Macaca fascicularis: one gene and its partners. The protein of the gene in region 3 purifies or fractionates together with the protein of the main gene of each other region. This does not show direct contact. Links are inferred from orthologs where the notes say so. Each region holds a gene or a part of one and is shown on either strand. Other genes may lie near its edges.

Region 1 (3,647 bases), on a different chromosome or scaffold from region 3:
CGTGCCTTACATACTAGCCATTTATCAGATATTAGCTGTTTTAAAAATTAAAAGAATAGGCCGCACAGTGGCTCACGCCTGTAATCCTAGCACTTTGGGAGGCTGAGGTGGGCGGATCACGAAGTCAGGAGCTTGAGACCATCCTGGCTAACACGATGAAACCCTGTCTCTACTAAAAATACAAAAAATCAGCTGGGCGTGGTGGTGGGCACCTGTAGTCCCAGCTACTCAAGAGGCTGAGGCAGGACAATTGCTTGAACCCGGGAGGCAGAGCTTGCAGTGAGCCAAGATCACACCACTGCCCTCTACTCCAGCCTGGGCAACAGCGAGACTCCTTTAAAAACAAAAAAAAAAAATTAAAAGAATATGTATTGACACTGTAGATTTGTGACATATCAAGATTAGAAGTTGAATTAGTAGTGCCATAATAAAGTCACTAGAGAAAGGGCTTATTTTTGTGATGCTAACTTGATATGTACCATATATGTTTATCTCATACTAATGCTTCTTAGGATATATTATTAGTTAGTGACTGTTAACATAGATTCAGATTAACATCGGTTTAAACAACATAAAAGTTGATTTTTTTCCCCCTCATATCGAAGTCTAGAAGCAGGCAGTCCAAGGCTGGTAAGGGAGCGCTGCTCAGTGAGATTGCCTAGACCCTGGTTTCTTCTACCTTCTTCTTCCATCATCTCTTGGTGTTTGCCGTTTTTCCTGTAGTGCAGGGTGGCTCACTCTCACATCTACATTCTAGCCAGCAGGAAGAGGAAAAGGCCAGTGATAAAATATGGCCCAAAAGTTGCACATATGACTTCTGCTCCCAACTGATTGGCCAGAATTTAATCACATGATCATACTAGCAGCAAGATTGGTTGGGAAACATAATCTTTAATTCTGAATAACCATGTGTCCTTCCAAAATTCAGGGGCTCCACCAGTGTAGATAAAGAGAGTCTATTGGGGTCTGTGAGTTCCCTAAAATGATTTGTAAAAGTTTATATAAGTATTTGTGAATGTGTACTTTTCTGATAACTTTCATTAGCTTCTGAAAATGGTTTGTGACCAAAGCTAAGAATAGATATTTGTAAAAGAATTTGAATGATTTATGTAATGTAACATTTATTTTATTAGCTCTATTCCAATTGATTACAACCTGTATCGAAAATTCTGGTCACTTCAGGATTACTTCAGGAACCCCGTGCAATGCTATGAGAAGATTTCATGGAAAACTTTTCTCAAGGTGAGTTGCCAGTGACAGACTGTCAGAAGCCTAGTATTTTATAGCCAGTGATAGAGCTAAAACTTACCCTTGTCTAACATACTTTTCACTATTTTATTCTACCTCTTACATTTTTATACCAATTTCATAACAAGCTAAATTACAAATTAATATTTAAACCACTATTATTGTGAAGTAGTGTGTAAGAATCGGATATTTAAAAGTCATTACAGCCTTGCTTTTTTGGAATATAATGAGTGTTATCAACATAAATTGATGATATTTTGCAGAATATATTCTGTCTTTGTACAAAATTATTTTAGCTGTCTTGTTGAAACAGAAGTCCTCAAGTCATGGCCCTGGGCCAGATCTGACCTACTGCTTGTAAACAAAGGTTTATTGGAATACTACCATGACCTCCACTTACCTGTGGCTGTTTTTGCACTCTAATGGCACAGCTGAGTAGTTGCAACTGAGACTATAAAGGCCACAAAGCCTGAAATAATTACTCTCTGGTCCTTTATGGAAGAAGTTTGCCAATCCTGTTTTAGAAGAATTTTTTATATTTTTCTTGGCTACTTAAAGATCAGTTATCCTTTTTTGTTGTAATCAAAATATAAGATAAGTAGGTAGTTCTCAAAGTAGCGTGGTGTGTGTTATGTTATTTTTAATAGTTTTTGTTTTGTATGCAATTTTTTGTGGGGGCAGCACCATCCAAATTCAGATTAAGTGGTTAGTGAGAAATAATCTGAAATTGTCTTCTAACTGAACAGAATTTGATGGAATTTATTTGCTCAGTCTTTAGCACAAGAAATACATAAGAGTTTCTACAGGTAGTTAAACAATTTCACTGGTAAATTCCTATACACTCTTAAAAGTGTTCCCTTCTCTGTTTGTCCCTTACACAAACTTCTTAAATCATATTTCTTTTTTTTTGGAGACGGAGCCTCCCAGGTTCGAGGGATCCTTTAGCCTCAGTCTCCCGAGTAGCTGGGACTACAGGTGCCCGGCTAATTTTTGTGTTTTTAGTTGAAACAGGGTTTCACCATGTTGGCCAGGCTTGTCTCAAACTCCTGATCTCAAGTTACCTGCCCACCTCAGCCTCCCAAAGTGCTGGGATTACAGGCATGAGCCACCGCAACTGGCCAAGAAATCGCATTTCTTTAGGAGTAGGGAACTTGTTCCTACTTTTACAACAAGTGAAATATCCACAATAGTTTTTACTCCCATAATTTTTATTGTTAGTGTGCCTTACAATATACAATATACATACATGATTGAGAGTAAATTCTAGACATTTTGATGCAGAAAAGCACTAAACAAATTTGGGTAACAATGTCGAATAAAACTAACATTTTTATTTTGCAGTATTCTGAAGAAGTTTTAGCTGTTTTTAAGAGTTATAAATTAGATGATACTCAGGCCTCAAGAAAAAAGATGGAAGAATTGAAAACAGGAGGAGAGCATGTATATTTTGCAAAATTTTTAACAAGTGAAAAGGTATAAGTTTTTCTTTCTCACTAAGCATAATAAGAAATGGTCTTGTTTTATTTCTGTTTAGCTGACAGCCTTTCTAACTTAAATTGAATAGAAATGTTTCCTATTTTTACTTTGGGTTAAAGCTGATTAATGTTACTTTGAAAGTCCCATTTCTTCCTTTCACAAGTAGGACTAATTTGATTTCAAAGGTGAAAGTAATTCTACATTAAGTCTGTTTTGTAGACTAATTTTGGAATAAATGCAGTTTAATTACTTTCATGTCTATATATTTTAAACGTCAAGTTAGGATTTAATTTGTATATGAAAATAATATTTCATAATATTTAGGTACAAGTAAGGGGTTTAAAAGTTCCTTGTTAATCTTATTTATACATTTTAAAAAGTAAATTTTGTTCAAATATAATGCTACAAGATGATGTAAAGTTTCTAGTCAAGATGGCACATTGAGTTTATGTTTCGACTCACTCCCTTTGCTCCAAACACATAGCAATGACGGGTAAAATATAAATGAGAAAACAAAAGAGACAAGGCTGGGCTTCCACAAACAAGATAAATATCTTCATGGACCAGAAATGCCAAGTAGTGAGCAAAACTGCAGCCTGGGCCTGCTGGACTCTCTATCCAAGGCAGGTGGTGGTGTCCAGGAATTTGGCTACAAGTAACAGAGACTAAATGTGCACCATGTGGGACAAGGGGCCAGAGCCAGTTTCGCTTCTTGAAGCCAAGGACTAGGGTGGAACTTTTATCCACTTTTGGAAAGAAACTAAGAAAAAAGATTGCCAGTCTTCTGCCAAGGGCTATGGTTTTATAGGAAGTTGTGAGCCTAGGGATAACAAAGACAGCTTTGTGTCCATCTGCTTGCTCAGTGACCAGATATGTGATATGCTAAGTATACTTATGAAGCAGCTGCTGTAAGAAGTCATCAT
Region 2 (4,302 bases), on a different chromosome or scaffold from region 3:
TTTCATTCCCTAATTCTTTTTCTGTTTCTCCATGAAAGTCCAAATTGTAATTTTTTTAACATTGAATTTTACACTTGATTTCTTATTTTTAGACAGGGGTCTTGTTATGTTGCCCAGGCTGGACTTGAACTCCTGGGCCCAAGTGATTCTCCTCACTTAGCTTCCCACATAGCGGGGACTGTTGGCTATCACACTCAGCTCTAATCCTTTTTAGGGTTGGAAATTTATCCTCAATCTAACTGAGAAGTACAAGAGCCAGTGAGTTCTTTAGTAATCATTTCCTGTGTATATTCTGTACAAGTGGATCTGGCTTTGAAATTTACAGTGTATTAGAGTTTGATGTTTCGATCTTGAAATTTTAACATCCTTTAACATCCTTTTACACATACACACATAACTTTGTTTTGTATGCTTTGTATGTTTTACCTAATGGGATCATCTTATACCTGCTTTTTAACTTTTTTTTCTTTTTCTGAGATAGAGTTTTGCTCTGTGGCCCAGGCTGGAGTGCAGTGGCATGATCTGGGCTCACTGTAACCTCTGCCTCCTAGGTTCAAATAATTCTCCTGCCTCAGTCTCCCAAGTAGCTGGGACTACACGTGCGTGCCACCATGCCTGGCTAATTTTTGTATTTTTAGTAGACACCAGGTTTCACCATGTTGGCCAGGCTGATCTTGAACTCTTGACCTCAAGTGATCCACCCACCTCAGCCTTCCAAAGTGCTGGGATTACAGGTGCGAACCACAGCGCCCAGCTATATATAGACATGATAATTATATAATATATATATAAAATTTCATCTAAACTTGTATCTTAGAAATTCTTATCAGTAAGCGTACGTGATTTCATTTATTTATTACTCTCTTGGATACTATACATAATCAGGTGGCCCCAATTCTTTACACTGGCAGCAAAGATATGCAAATTCTTCCAGCAGGCCGAATTTGACCCCACACTTGATTAGCGTGGTGGACACAGAGGGTTTTTAAATGGCATAGGAATGCTTTTTGCTTCCCACCGGACCCACTACCCTCTATTGCCACTGATTAATATTACCTTCCTTGAATCAGGAGGAAACCGTTTGTGACTTCTCATATGTAAGATCCTCTAAGGGCAGAAACGCGATTATCTTTGTATTAATCTCCCCGCCCACCCCCACCCCTCCCATCGAGAGCCTCCAGTCAGGTTCAAGCTTTCAAAAAGGCGTGAGATAATCCAATCATCCTTGCCGCTTTTTGCTCCTCCAAGCTCTAGAGGGCGACAAAAATCGCGGAGGCGCATTGGAGTCTACTGAAGGCCGCTCCCGACGTGCGCGTCTTTACGTAGACGTCGGGGGCGGAGCCGCGCTGTGAGCGGTGACTGGCGGCGGCACTGGCGGCGGCACTGGCGGCAGCTGGAGGTGTAATAGTGCAGGTAGTGGGGTTGGAGAAGTTCCGAGGCGGCGGTGGCGCCGGTGAGGACTAGGATAGCGGAAGCGGGCCCTGGGCTTGTCGCTCACCATGCCGACGGTAGAGGAGCTTTACCGCAATTATGGCATCCTGGCCGATGCCACGGAGCAAGTGGGCCAGGTGAGTGAGTCCCCGGGCGGCCTGCAGGGCCCGGCGCTCCGCGGCCTTTCCAAAGCGCAGCCCGCCGCGCTCTCCCGGGCCGGGCGGGGGCTGCGGCTTCATCCTCCCGGGGGAGCTCCTAACCTCCCCAGGCCGTCTCGTCGGGGTGGGCCTCTCTGGGAGTGTAGACTCTGGCTTCACCAGGGAGACCGCGGTCCCCAGGGTTCCAGGCTTCCCTGCCTCCCTCGCCCAGCCTTTTCCCACCTTGGCGTAACCTAACTCAGCCTGTTCAGGCTCACGTTAATTCTCCTCCCGGGCTTTCCTCTACAGTATTCTGTTAAGCCTTTCTCCTTTCCCGTCCCCTTTTCTGAACAAGATTAGATCGGGAGTTTTCTTCAAGAGGTCAAGATGTGTTGTTTTTTTGTTTTTGTTTTTGTTTTTTTGGAGGCAAAATTCTGCTACTAGTTGAAGAAGAGTGTTTAGGAGACAGAAGTTTGTAAGAAACAGAAGAGGGACTCTTTGGTCCAGACTTTGATGAAGGCTCACGGTTTCATTTATTCAGTACATTTTTTGAGCGCCGAGCGCTGGAGATACAGATGGAAAGGTCCGCGCGCTCTCAGAATGTACAGTTAGGAGGGAGTGTAGTGAGTGATGAATAAGAAAGGCATTGTGAGGCCCGGCGCGGTGGCTCACGCCTGTAATCCCAGCACTTTGGGAGGCCCAGGCGGGTGGATCACGAGGTCAGGAGTTCGAGACCAGCCTGAGCAACATGGTGAAACCCCGTCTCTGCTAACAATACAAAAATTAGCTGGGCGTGGTGGTGCGCGCCTGTAATCCCAGCTACTCAGGAGGCGGAGGTGGGAGGATTGCTTGAACCTGGAAGGCGGAGGTTGCAGTGAGCCGAGATCGCTTCACTGCTCTCCAGCCTGGGCAACCGAGCGAGACCCCGTCAAAAAAAAAAAAAGGGGGTTTTTTTAAAATTATTATTTATCGTTTTTAATGAAACGTGTTTGAAGAAAATAAAACAGGGCTGGGCGAAGGAGTGTGTGAGAGTGCAGCTCTGAATGGAGTTCTCTGGAAGAGCGCTCTTGCCATGCTTGCCGCGGATACACAGTTTCTCAGCAGTGAATTATCCGTACGAGCCATTTGTTCCCTGTATGAGTTTTCAAGTAGCGGAGTACATTGAACTTGATAAGTGGCTGGGAAAAGAACCAGGAAGTCCTAGAGGCAACTTTGATAATTGTTTTAGAAATCCCACACCATAGCTTTTCAGTGCTTAGTTAGAACTTTGTGATTTTTCTGCTTACGCATCCCTTCTTGGAGAAAGTGGAAGATTCTAGTCTATTAACAGTCGTGGGAGTACCTTTCCCGTCCCCTTTTCTGAACATAATTCAAATAAGACCTTTCTGAGCTGAAAGAAAAAAAAAAAATCATGTTGGAGCTTTATTGTAGCTTAATCTAGAATTGTGAATGTACCAGTTTGAAATAGCAGATGATTTTTTTTCCCTTCATTCCCTGTCAGTAGGGAATTTCACTATTATCAGTGAGAAATGTATACGGATATTCTGTTGTACATGTGGACAGAGTGTGTAGGTCGGTTGTGAAGGAGGAATATTCTCTTCATTAAGAAGATAAAAACTGCCGGGCATGGTGGCTCACTCCTGTAATCCCAGTTCTTTAAGAGGCCTGGGTGGGCAGATCACTTGAGGTCAGGAGTTCGAGACCAGCCTGGCAAACATGGTGAACTCCTATCTCTACTAAAAATACAAAAAATAGCCAGGCATGGTGGCGTGCGCCGGAAGTCCCAGCTATTTGGGGTGGCTGAGGCAGGAGAATCACTTGAACCCAGGGGGCAGAGGTTCCTGTGAGCTGATACCAGGCCACTCCAGTTCAGCCTGGGCAGCAGAATGAGACTCCATCTCAAACAAAAAATTAAAAAAAAAAAAAAGATAAAAACTATGTAGGATCAGTTTGAATTTGTTATTCCTAAAAAGAACTAGTAGTGAAGATATTCTCAATCGTATAATTTTTCTGGGACTTAGTTGGGTAACTTTGTAACAAATTGTTCTACCTGTGTTTGATTTTGTTGCACATCAGTAGAGGGGATAGGGTGAAAGCTAGAACTGTGGTTCTGTCAGGAATCTTTCTAAGAAGCCTTTGAAACCGTATAGATAATGCTGTCCCATTCCCCTACTTTAATTTTGAGATTTGCTTACATTTCCTTCTCATGTCATCTTTATAAAAACCAGATTGAATTGAGAGTTCTCCCCCAAGGAGTCAAAATGTCTTTCTTGCAGCAAAAATGTATTTGCAGCAAAAATGTACTCTTTATTTAGTAAGGGTACTTGAGACAAGTTTGTGAAAAAATGGAAAAGGATAACTTTGTCTACACTTTAATGAGAATTCATGCTTTATTCGGTAGGTTTCACCTACCATGTACCACACACCCGGCTGGATGCTGGAATTTAACACAGTTCCCTGTAGATTATGGGTCATCAATGCGTTCTGTATTGACAGCTGTCAAGCAACTATCTAAACTCTCTGCATAATGAGATGTAGTGATTAGCTCAGGCTGCTCAAACTGTGAATTTTAGGAGAACCAAAGATAATGCCTACTAATTCTGCTCTGTTGGGTTATACTTCTCCCCTTTTAGATAAAATGCCTAAAATCACTTACTAAAAGACAGTAGGTTTTAGGATATTGCTTGTAATTTTAACTAACAAAGGCAAAAGCCAACTTAGTAGAGAGGATACC
Region 3 (3,647 bases):
TCAGGCTTTTTTTTTTTTTTAAATTTTTTTTTAAATTTTTTGAGATAGCCTTGCTCTGTCGCCCAGGCCGGAGGGCAGTGGTGTGATCTTGGCTCACTGCAACCTCTACCTCCTAGGTTCAAGTGATTCTCCTGCCTCAGCCTCCCGGGTAGCTGGAATTACAGGTGCCCGCCACCACACCTGGCAAATTTTTGTTATTTTAGTAGAGACGGGGTTTCACCATGTTGGTCAGGCTGGTCCTGGACTCCTGACCTTAGGTGATCCGCCCGCCTCGGCCTCCCAAAGTGCTGGGATTACAAGCGTGAGCCACTGGGCCTGGCCGTGACTCAGTTTGATAGGATCTTTCTGGCTGCTCTGGGGAGGGGCTGGGGGATGGCAACAGGGAAACCAGGGAGGAGGCTGTTGGCTTAATTCAGCCAAGAGATGATGGCCTCTGCATGTCCAGCTGACAGTGGTTAAGCAAAATGTAGTATATTGATGAGAAGGAACATTAGGTGACCATGGAAAGAAATGAGGCCGGGTGTGGTGGCTCACACCTGTAATCCCAGGACTTTGGAAGGCCAAGGGGGGTGGATCGCCTGAGCCCGGAAGTTGGAGATCAGCCTGGGCAACATGGTGAAACCCCATCTCTGTTACAAATACAAAAATTAGTGGTGGTGGGTGCCTGTAGCTTCTGCTACTAGGGAGGCTGAGGTGGAAAGATCGCTTGATTGAGCCTAGGAGGCAGAGGTTGAAGTGAGCTTTGATTGGGCTGCTGTACTCCAGTCTGGGCAACAGAGCAAGACCTTGTCTCAAAGAGGGGGAAAAAAAAAGGGAGTGCTGATGATGTGCTGGAGCACATTGTGCTGAGTGAAGAAACCAGACACAGAATGTCACAAATTGTAAGATTTCATTTATGTGAAATATCCACAACAACCAGCAAATCCACAGAAACAGAAAGCAGATTAGTGGTTGCCCGGGGCTGGGGTGGGGTATTTAGGGTATGGATGGGTAAAGGGTACAGGAGCTTTTATTTCAAGGTGATGAAGTATTCTAAAATTGCTCGTGTGGTAGTGGTTGCACATGTTGGTTCTACACTAAAAACCACTGAATTGTCTGCTTTAAGTGGTGAGTTGTATAGCGTGTAAATATCTCTGTGAAGTTTTTTTTTTTTTTTAGGCTGGAGTGAGGTGGCATGATTTTGGCTCATCACAACCTCCGCCTCCCGGGTTTAAGCGATTCTTCTGCAGCAGCTTCCCGAGTAGCTGGGATTATAGGCGCCTGCCACCACACCTGACTAAATTTTTGTATTTTTAGTAGAGATGGGGTTTCACCATGTTGGTCAGGCTGGTCTGGAACTCCTGACTTCAGGTGACCCGCCTGCCTTGGTCTCTCAAAGTGCTGAGATTACAGGCGTGAGCCCCCACGCCTGGCCTGTAAAGCTGTTCTAATTAAAAATAATAATAACAAGGCCAGGCGCAGTGGCTCACGCCTGTAATCCCAGCACTTTAGGAGGCCTAGGCGGGCGGATCACGAGGTCAGGAGTTCGAGACCAGCCTGACCAACATGGTGAAACCCTGTCTCTACTGAAAATACAAAAATTATCTGAGCGTGGTGGCAAGCACCTGTAATCCCAGCTACTCAGGAGGCTGAGGCAGGAGAATCTCTTGAACCCTGGAGGCGGAGGTTGCAGTGAGCCGAGGTGCCACTGCGCTGCAGCCTGGGTGACAGAGCAAGATTCCGTCTCAATAATAATAAAAAACAGGTGATAGCACATTGGGGCCAGCATGGTAGCATAGGTGAGAACTGGCCAGAGGGCCTTGATGGGATTCACTGCCTCATGGACAGGGATGTTGAGAGAGAAAAAAACAGCCATTGAGAGAATGGAATTGCTGTTTCTGGGCTGGGATTGAGTGACAGTGGGGCCAGAAGTGGCTTAGGATCCTCAGCATCCAGCCTCAGGAAGAATTGTATCAGCTGCAGCCCTCTGCTCCACCCCCCACTGGAGTCTGGGGTAGGGGAGGAGGATATAAGACAATTGTCCTCATGTTTGGGTCCCTTGCACCCAGCAGGCACTTGGTATGCATTAGATTAATAAAGCAAAGAGGTAGGCAGACTTTGTATTAATTCCATTTTCCATCTTCTCAGCTTTATTTTTATTGGCCCAGGCCCAATAGGAGGCCTTTCATGAGAGCACTTAATTATTCCCCTGTGCAGACCACAGAGAGCGGGAGAAGCTGGGGCTGGGCAGATACTGCTTGCTCTCTTGCAAACTTAGTTCCCGCCAGCATCCTGGCAGCCCTACCCCTGGGGTCTTTGGGCTCCTGCCCCATGAAAGCCCAGTGGGTTCCTTGCGGAGTGATAGGGAGGGGGCTTCTCTGGGCTAGGTAGCCCGAGGAGGTTCACTGGAGCTGAGGCTTGCGTGTGGAGAAGAAGGCATTTGTGCAGAGACCTGGGGGCCGAGCATTGCTGGTGGTGACAACCGGGTTCAAAGGCTTGGGGCAGGAGTTCCAGGGGTCTGAGCAGCTGAACAAGGCTGGGGGTGGTGTGGGATGAGGTGGGCAGGGGTCAAACCAAGGGGATTGCCTGACCTGTGGTGAGAGTTGGGATTTTAACTCTGCAAGCCATGGGAAGCCCTTGGAGGTGGAGGGTGTTCTGTCTGTGGGTGTGGCAAGCGGGGCATGGGGGAGAGATAGGGTGGCTTGGGGGTGCGGAGGTGAAGACAGGGCGAAGCTACGAGATGCAGCCCAGGTGGAGCTGACAGGCTGGCTTATGGAAGGAGGTGGTAGAGAATGCCGTTTGAATGAAGCTTCATCATCCTTCTGTGCCCACTCGCGGGACCCTGCCTCTCTCTCTTCTCAGCATCATGGCAGAACAGGATGTGGAAAATGATCTTTTGGATTACGATGAAGAGGAAGAGCCCCAGGCTCCTCAAGAGAGCACACCGGCTCCCCCTAAGAAAGACATCAAGGGATCCTACGTTTCCATCCACAGCTCTGGCTTCCGGGACTTTCTGCTGAAGCCGGAGCTCCTGCGGGCCATCGTGGACTGTGGCTTTGAGCATCCGTCTGAGGGTACGCCTTCTGGGTGTCATCCTCTTGCCCAGGTCCTCACCAAGACAAGACCAGCCCTGCCCGCCCAGAGCGGTGCTGCCTCCAGTGTGCCGTGGGTGAGGGAGGGGCCTGCCCACCCCTTGGATCAGTTGTGCCCAGCAGGGCCTATGGCTGCTCTCAGCACCGGGGTGCTCTGCTTTGACCAGGCAGATACCCTAGCCCTGCAGGTGTCTGTGGCCTTGTCCGGACTTGGCCTTTTCTGATTGCCCTCACTGTGGGCCCCCTGGTCAACTGGTGAGCAGCCTGCACGGGGGTGTGTCCAGGTTCTCGTCTCTCACGCTCTGCTTCTCCTGCAGTCCAGCACGAGTGCATTCCCCAGGCCATCCTGGGCATGGACGTCCTGTGCCAAGCCAAGTCTGGGATGGGCAAGACAGCGGTCTTCGTGCTGGCCACCCTACAGCAGATTGAGCCTGTTAACGGACAGGTGGGTGGGCTCCTCCCTTCCCAGCCCCACCCTACCTGTGGCGGCCGAAGTAGAGGGGCTGGATGAGGTGGCTCACACCTGTTAGCCCATCGCTTTGGGAAACCAAGGCTGGAGGATTGCTTGAGGCCAGG

What was found.
Region 1: the proteins of DDX39A (region 3) and THOC1 purify together in Homo sapiens (affinity purification with mass spectrometry; 3 studies listed by BioGRID and IntAct, with this or other methods). This does not show direct contact. The link is inferred for Macaca fascicularis from reciprocal best matches to the Homo sapiens genes DDX39A and THOC1.
Region 2: the proteins of DDX39A (region 3) and API5 fractionate together in Homo sapiens (co-fractionation; 3 studies listed by BioGRID, with this or other methods). This does not show direct contact. The link is inferred for Macaca fascicularis from reciprocal best matches to the Homo sapiens genes DDX39A and API5.

Annotation. Positions count from the first base shown.
Region 1 is NC_088392.1:68,930,772-68,934,418, reverse strand, and holds part of THOC1 (THO complex subunit 1), read left to right. Parts: intron 1-1,133; coding exon 1,134-1,242; intron 1,243-2,589; coding exon 2,590-2,721; intron 2,722-3,208; exon of another isoform or gene 3,209-3,647. UniProt on the Homo sapiens protein: Component of the THO subcomplex of the TREX complex which is thought to couple mRNA transcription, processing and nuclear export, and which specifically associates with spliced mRNA and not with unspliced pre-mRNA.
Region 2 is NC_088388.1:22,511,976-22,516,277, reverse strand, and holds the start of API5 (apoptosis inhibitor 5), read left to right. Parts: upstream 1-1,370; 5' UTR 1,371-1,499; coding exon 1,500-1,568; intron 1,569-4,302. UniProt on the Homo sapiens protein: Antiapoptotic factor that may have a role in protein assembly. Negatively regulates ACIN1. By binding to ACIN1, it suppresses ACIN1 cleavage from CASP3 and ACIN1-mediated DNA fragmentation. Also known to efficiently suppress E2F1-induced apoptosis.
Region 3 is NC_088393.1:14,840,847-14,844,493, reverse strand, and holds part of DDX39A (ATP-dependent RNA helicase DDX39A), read left to right. Parts: intron 1-2,841; 5' UTR 2,842-2,845; coding exon 2,846-3,053; intron 3,054-3,388; coding exon 3,389-3,516; intron 3,517-3,647. UniProt on the Homo sapiens protein: Helicase that plays an essential role in mRNA export and is involved in multiple steps in RNA metabolism including alternative splicing. Regulates nuclear mRNA export to the cytoplasm through association with ECD.